Danio rerio: one gene and its partner. The protein of the gene in region 1 interacts with the protein of each later gene in a pairwise test. Links are inferred from orthologs where the notes say so. Each region holds a gene or a part of one and is shown in the gene's direction. Other genes may lie near its edges.

Region 1 (3,835 bases):
TATTTAGTTATATCGGTTTAGGCGTTTGACATGCGGTGACACGCAGTCAAATATTTCGCCGAACAGATCAGCAACTTTCGACGCTCATAAACAATCATAACGTTCTCGTGCTGCAGGAATTAAGAGGTCTGCTGAAGGTGACAGCTGTCGTGCAGTGAGGGGTTTGCGTCTTTAATAAACTACAACAGTTTGTGTTCACTGAACAGTAAGAATGATTAATAAATCCATATGAAACAGTCCTTTAAAAGTTACGTCTCATCTTTAGTTTCGGGCTTTGCACTTTGCACTCACACTACAAGCGTACCGCGCCAAAGCCCAAGTGAACCGCGCTCTGGCACACCTCTTCCAACCGGGCCAGTGCTGGCCAACTGAACCGCGCCTGAGCCTGATTCAGAGCACTCACACAGCTCGGTTCACTTGGGCACTACGCTTGTAGTGTGAGTGCCGAAACTAAAGACCTTCACGGCCAATAAAAGTTTCATTTCTGTTGAGTTGCAAATCAGCGCTGTTTAAGAACGTGCTCAACAGCGCTTACATTTTAGCAGGAAATGGACGTTTTTAAAATTACGGTATCGATTGGTATCAAATTCCAGAACCATGACAACACCAGTATATATCAGTGTTTTTTATTATTTTGATCTAGCTGATGTAGCTTGCCTTTAAAACTCTCCAATTATTTAGTTATAGTTATTTTCACTTATATTGCTACTCTTTTTTTTATATTTATTTATTTTTTTTACATGTGTTTTTATTTCACCAATGAGAAGTTGATGAAGCTGAGATGTGTGTGTGTGTGTTTTTTTAGAGATCAGCACACTGAAGGAGATTTTCAGCATCGCCACTGATGGTATAAAGATCGTAATATAATTTTATTAAAAGTGGATCACAGAAAAATATTTCTAGTACAAATACAAATCCTTCCCCTGTCTGTGTTGGTCTCCTCAGAGCACGAAGCCGCCATGGTGAAATACAGCCGTTTGCCTAAAAAAAGAGAAAACGAGAAGGTAAATGTCAATGCTGAGCTGTTAAACTGAGCTGAGCTGTTTGTGTATGTGTTGTGCACATGTGTGTGTGTGTGTGTGTGTGTGTGTGTGTGTGTGTGTGTGTGTTTAGTTATTTATGCAACATTTTGAAGACCAAATATCCACACAAGCATGGGAAAATGTTTACCTTGTCATTTTTACCGTGCGTGTTTGATTATTTGATCTCCACACAACCATGGTAAATCTGTCATTTTACCATGCTTTATTAGATATTTGGTCTCCACACAACAGTGTTAAAATCTGTCATTTTACCATGCTCATTTGGATATTTGGTCTCTATACAATTATGGTAAAATCTGTCATTTTACCATGCTTCTTTGATTATTTGGTCTCCACACAATCATAGTAAAATCTGTCATTTTACCATGCTTCTTTGATTTTTTTTGGTCTCAACACAACCATGGTAAAATCTGTCATTTTACCATGCTCATTTGGATATTTGGTCTCCATACAACCATGGTAAAATCTGTCATTTTACCATGCTTCTTTGATTATTTGGTCTCCACACAACCATGGTAAAATCTGTCATTTTACCATGCTTCTTTGATTTTTTTGGGTCTCAACACAACCATGGTAAAATCTGTCATTTTACCATGCTCATTTGGATATTTGGTCTCCATACAACCATGGTAAAATCTGTCATTTTACCATGCTTGTTTCAATATTTGGTCTCCATGCAACCATGGTAAAATCTGTCATTTTACCATGCTTCTTTGATTATTTGGTCTCCACACAACCGTAGTAAGTCTGTCATTTTACCATGCTTGTGCGGATACTTGGTCTCTGAAATGCTCAGAAGCATGGTAAATCTATCATTTTTACCATTGTGTGTTCAGCCTTGAATTTAAACAACTAAAATATGTTTGTCTGAAAGTGAAATGCATTTGGTCAGTATAAACACAATAGAAGTGAATAGAAAGTCCCCAGAATTCACTAAAACTAATTTACTGTGTGTGTGTGTGTGTGTGGACAGGTGAAAGCGGAGGTGGTGCGAGAGGTGGCGTATTCGCGCAGGAAGCAGCACCAGGCAGCAATGCAGTATTATTGTGCTCTGAATGCGCTGCAGTACAGGAAGAGAGTGGCCATGCTGGAGCCCATGCTGGGATACACACACGCTCAGGTCATACTCCAAACTACACACTAGTCTGATCAGGACTGTTTAATCCTGTTTGATCTGACTTTATATCTCGTTTATGAGCAGTCCAGATGAACGTTTATCAATCCTCTTTGATTTCCACAGATCAATTTCTTCAAGAAGGGAATGGAGCTGGTGTCTAAGAAGCTGGACAGTTTTCTCAACTCGGTGTCCAACATGAATGAGAGGTACCACACTTTGCTTCTTACTTGACCTACAGTCTGTGTGTGTGTGAATGGCTCTGTCCTGCGATTGGCTCATTCTGCTCTGTTCTTTGACTCGCTGCGTTCCACTCCACTTACACACACACACTTGTCAACTTCCCTTCACTTGTTCCCTCTGGGGAGTGCCTGCTGACATTTTAAAGTGTGTTCTACTTCATCAAGTGTATGAGAGACGTCAGATTGGAGCCTCAAATTGGACCAAGGGAGCGTGTCGGCTTTATATGTCTACTACATACCCACATGATTGCGGTTGTGTAACAGTGTAGTTCTCCAGTGCTCAAGGGTTTAGGGCATTACATTTAAACCCATTCAGATGCTCCACCAGTAGTGGACACTTGTGTAAGGTAATCAGTGATGTATATCAGAGTGAACGAGACTGAGGGAGGTTAGTGAGTGAAGGGGATTAAAAAAATGGACTGGAATGCAGCCATTGGCTCCTGTTCTGTGCTCTGTGATTGGCTCACTTGGTGTGCTTTCTTTCTGATTGGCTCCAGCTCTGCGTCTTTGATTGGATGCTGTGCTTGGATAGGCTCAATCTGCTCTGTCTCTGTGATTGGTTCACTCTGTGTGCTCTCTGTGATTTGCTTAAGCTCCTCGCTTTGTACTGATGATTGGCTTCTGCTCTGTCTGTGATTGGCTCACGTTCTGTTCTGTGATTGGCTCAAGATTTGTGGTTTGTGTCTATGATTGGATCACAATCTGTGATTGGCTCATTCTGTTCATGTTGCTGACTTGTACTTTGTGCTCTATGGTTAACGCATTCTGCCTTTTGATTGGCTAATTCTGCTTGGTGTCTGTGATTGGCTCACACTTTCCTTTGTGCTCCTCCTGTTCTGTGATTGGTTCTCACTCTGTCTCTCTGCTTATATCCTCTTTTGTGGTCTATGATTGGCTCTTTTTGCTCCATGTCTGTGATTGGCTCACGCTTTCCTTAGTGCTCATTCTGCTCTGTGATTGGTTCTCACTCTGTGTCTGTAATTCCCTGTTATGTAGTCTGATTGGCTCAAGCTCTGTGTTTATGATTGGCTCATTTTGCTCACTGTCTGTGATTGGCCCACACTTTCCTTTGTGCTCCTCCTGATTGGTTCTCGCTCTGTCTCTCTGCTTATATCCTCTTTTGTGGTCTATGATTGGCTCATTTTGCTCCATGGCTGTGATTGGCTCACGCTTTCCTTTGTGCTCATTCTGCTCTGTGATTGGTTCTCACTCTGTGTCTCTGTTATTTCCTGTTTTGTAGTCTGTGATTGGCTCAAGCTCTGTGCTCTGTTTATGATTGGCTCATTTTGCTCTGTGTCTGTGATTGGCCCACGCTTTCTTTTGTACTCCTTCTGTTCTCTGATTGGCTCTCAGTCTGTCTCTCTGCTTATATCCTGTTTTGTATTCTGTGATTGGCTCAAGCTCTGCTCTGTTTATGATTAGATTGACTCACACTT
Region 2 (3,935 bases), on another chromosome or scaffold:
AGTTTAATCAGGGTTGACAGAGTTGAAGTTGCAACTGTCACCAATTATAAAATTCATTTAAAAGCTTGTCATATTAACAATGTACAGTTTTAATTTTATCATAGTTTCAATGTAATTTAATTCGAAAAAATGAATTTTTTGATTAACTAATTCATTTCGAAGCTCAAAGAAGTAGTGTAGTAAAGATTTTCAGTAATAAAATATTTTTGTTCACTTTTTTTAGGCCTGATACTTGGTTGTTGCTTGCTGTTTTAATAGTCTGTATTTATATGTATTTATATTAACATATTTAACAATTTAACCAATTTGCATTTAGTCTGTTTTCCAAAAAAATACTAAAAAAATCCAACCTGATGCTTTAGAATTTTTTTATTATTACAACTGTCCCTGTGGGTTGTTGCAAACGTCCGCCTGCTTGGGGTCAGTTGCATTGTATAGATTTGTCTGTTCAAGATTAAATTCTGCATACAGTGCTCAGCATATACGAGTACACCCCCCACAAATCTCTCATTTAAATTAATATTTTTTATAGGATGCTTTACAATATTATATTTGTGCATATACATTAGATTAGTCTGTATTAAAGCCAAATATAGAGCTTATCTAACAAATTAACTTACAATAACGGTTCAAAAATTAGTAGCCCAAATTTATGTGTCAGGGAAAAATATTAAATAAAAATGTCAAAAGTAGCAAGGATGTCCACAAACAACTGTCTCCGAGAAACTGAAGGAAATGCAAAAAGTGTTGCAACTGTCCACACTCTCCCCTAATGGTAAAAATATGATATGATTATAATATGATTTCCATCTATTCTTGCTTCTATTTTAAATGGATTGCCGTAAAGTAATATAAAATAAATAAACTGTAGAATCTGCATTGTTGTAATATTAAATAATAAACAAATAATAAATAATAATCATGATAACTGTAAAAAATAGGCAGCAAACGTTTAGATTTGTGGTGCATTAATAATTGAATAACGTTTGATGACGCCTGTTAATGTTTTAATCAATAACCCGCAAAAACGTAATTAATTCTAAGGGTGTATAAAGTGATCAAATAATTAGGCTATAATAAAAAATACAACTATGGATTATGTTCGGTTACAATTCTACACAATAATTCGCACAATTAGGAGTAGTTTTTGTGGTCAAATGCAGCAATGAAGCCTGCCAAAAAAAGTAGTTCCTCCTGAGAGACTCGTTTCCAGCCGGTAAAAAATTAATGCGACATGACAAGGAAAAATCATGTGAAAAGCATAACAACAATGTACATTGTAATATTTCTGTAACATGTATATTCATAAACATTACTCTATGCGTTTTTACAACAGCTATTGTTTGCTTAGAGAAGAAATTCGCCGCTGTTGTTGTGGTTAACATTCAGCACACAACGGCTTTTTAACTCGGTCACCGGGTTCAAGTATGGACCCAAAACACAAAAAACTGCTCCGAACACAGCGGCTTTTTCTGTCCGAGGAGCTTTTAGTGGACGATTTAATCATTCAGTATTTATATCAAGAGGAGATACTGACGGAGAGCCATTTAGAGGAGATTCAGTCTGAGTCGTCAAGCAGAAATAAAACGTTAAAGCTGCTGGATATTTTACCGAGCCGCGGAGCGACAGCCTTCCATCACTTCATAAAGTCACTGGAGAAAGACTTTCCCTGGATCAGAGACAAACTGCTGCAACTAAACGAGGAAGAAGAGTCTCCTCCTCCGCCCTTCACAGGTGAGTCCTAAGAGCTGAAACTGACTGAACATCCAGAGGACAGAAATATGTCATTAAATATCCCACATGTTTTCTCAACTTTATATCAAACTTTATAATAGTCATATAATAACCATATTTATAATATACTGTATACTGTACAATATAAATGGGACAGAAATATATAGTCAAAAATCCAACATTTTCTCTCATATTTATAATATACTGTATACTAGTCATATAATAACCATATTTATAATATACTGTATTCTGTACAATATAAATGAGACAGAAATATATCTTCAAATATCCTACATGTTCTGTCATCTTTATAATATACTGTATAATAGTCATATAATAACTATATTAGTGTATGCTGTATACTGTAAAATATAAATGGGACAGAAATATGGCATCAAATATCCCACATTTTCTCTCATATTTATAATATACTGTATAATAGTCATATAATAACTATATTAGTAAATACTGTATACTGTACAATAGTCATATAAATATATTAGTATTTACTGTATAATATATGGAAAGAAATATATCATCAAATATCCTACATTTTCTCTCATATTTTAAATATACACAAAGATTTAAATTCAATTATTAAGATACCCCTTAAAAAATCTGTGTGGCTAGATTTGTTTGAAGTTTTAGTCAAACATTCTTATTTATTTTATTCTATGAGGCCACATACTATAGTAAAGTACTCAAATTAATCTGTTGTGGTATTTCTATAGTTGTTATCTATAGTTTTAATATTGTGCTATAGTAATATAATCAAATAATTACTGAATACTGTACAATAACTATTACACTTCATCTTTACATGATGTATAAACTGAAATATACTACAGAATTGATTGCACTTTATCAGATCATTATATCTAAAGTATTATGTAGTATTCATTATCAACATTTTATAATATATTGTAGATTTTTTTAAAATCATAAACAGAATACACCATACAGTATAAAATACTATAGTATTTTTATAAAACATCTGTTTCAAATATTAAGTAAAAGTTTTGCATTTAGAGCATTCCCAGAAACATGACTATTTGTGAGAATAACATATATTTTCAGTTGTTGTGACTGAAACTCAGTATTACTCCACCAAATATTCATTTCTCAATATTTTAGACTCATCTGAAGTTAAAACTACTACAGTGATAAATATAAAGATGTCTGAAAACAGGGAACCTTTTGCATTATTTTATGCAAACAATGCTGCAAATGATGAATGGATAGATAGGCAGTATTTTTTGTCCTAAATGTCCTCATATGTGGGTTATATCTCCACAAAATGAAATCAAAGTGAAACATGCTGAACGTTTTGTGACTATAGCTGTCCTTAGTTTTCCTAACAGTCATCATTAATATGCATGCAAACAATAATTAACCTTTACATTTGATGTTATTTAACTGAAAATAAGTTACCAGATAACACTATACACTATAAGAACTGCAGGTGTAAATGGCATCTTTGCTAAAGCCTGGCACAAAGCATATTTCCTTTTGAGGTCAATGTATTGTTGTGCAAGTCCGTGTTAAACAAACAAATTCAAAACTGATTTAAAGTCATGTAAGCTTTATCAGGCATTATTGAGTCTTTGTATTTCAGTGATGTCTTGCAAAAATAAAATACTGATCATAAAATGACATTAAAATTGTGGGACAAAAGTGGTTGGACAAATAGTGGCAAGGTATAATTTGTTTTTTAATGAACAATGAATTTGAGCTTTAACAGTTTGCACTGTAATCAATGAATATACAATTTAAATATATCATCAGGTGATTCTTGATTTAAGGCAAGATAGCTTTTTTGTATTGAAACTATTGATCACTGAATGACATTTTTAGTAGGCGTTTTCTCTAATTTATGTTAATAATATATGTTAGTCGTCATTTTTTCTTCCAAAAAATGTATTGATTAATTAATAAATTCAAAAAGCACTAAGCTGAAAAGAAAATTAATGATAGGACAAATTAATAAATACAGTTTTTAATATTAATTAATAATAAATAATTATTAATTTATTTTTAAATACAATTATATATTTATTTCATACAGTTTACTCCCAGTTTTTTTTTCTGTAAAGCTGAAACAATGGTTGAAATCATTACAGCTATGTGAACATCGGGTATTAGTATTATAAAGTATTATTCTTTCAGATTGGTCAGGTTTATTTAGTATGCAGATTGACTTA

Evidence for each region.
Region 2: the proteins of appl2 (region 1) and cradd interact in binary tests that used the Homo sapiens proteins (3 or more experiments, as listed by UniProt). The two-hybrid records come from large-scale screens. The link is inferred for Danio rerio from reciprocal best matches to the Homo sapiens genes APPL2 and CRADD.

Annotation. Positions count from the first base shown.
Region 1 is NC_133200.1:6,422,630-6,426,464, reverse strand, and holds part of appl2 (DCC-interacting protein 13-beta), read left to right. Parts: intron 1-805; coding exon of another isoform or gene 806-847; intron 848-945; coding exon of another isoform or gene 946-959; coding exon 960-1,004; intron 1,005-2,016; coding exon 2,017-2,163; intron 2,164-2,283; coding exon 2,284-2,366; intron 2,367-3,835. UniProt on the Homo sapiens protein: Multifunctional adapter protein that binds to various membrane receptors, nuclear factors and signaling proteins to regulate many processes, such as cell proliferation, immune response, endosomal trafficking and cell metabolism.
Region 2 is NC_133179.1:19,005,491-19,009,425, reverse strand, and holds the start of cradd (death domain-containing protein CRADD), read left to right. Parts: upstream 1-1,234; 5' UTR 1,235-1,427; coding exon 1,428-1,734; intron 1,735-3,935. UniProt on the Homo sapiens protein: Adapter protein that associates with PIDD1 and the caspase CASP2 to form the PIDDosome, a complex that activates CASP2 and triggers apoptosis.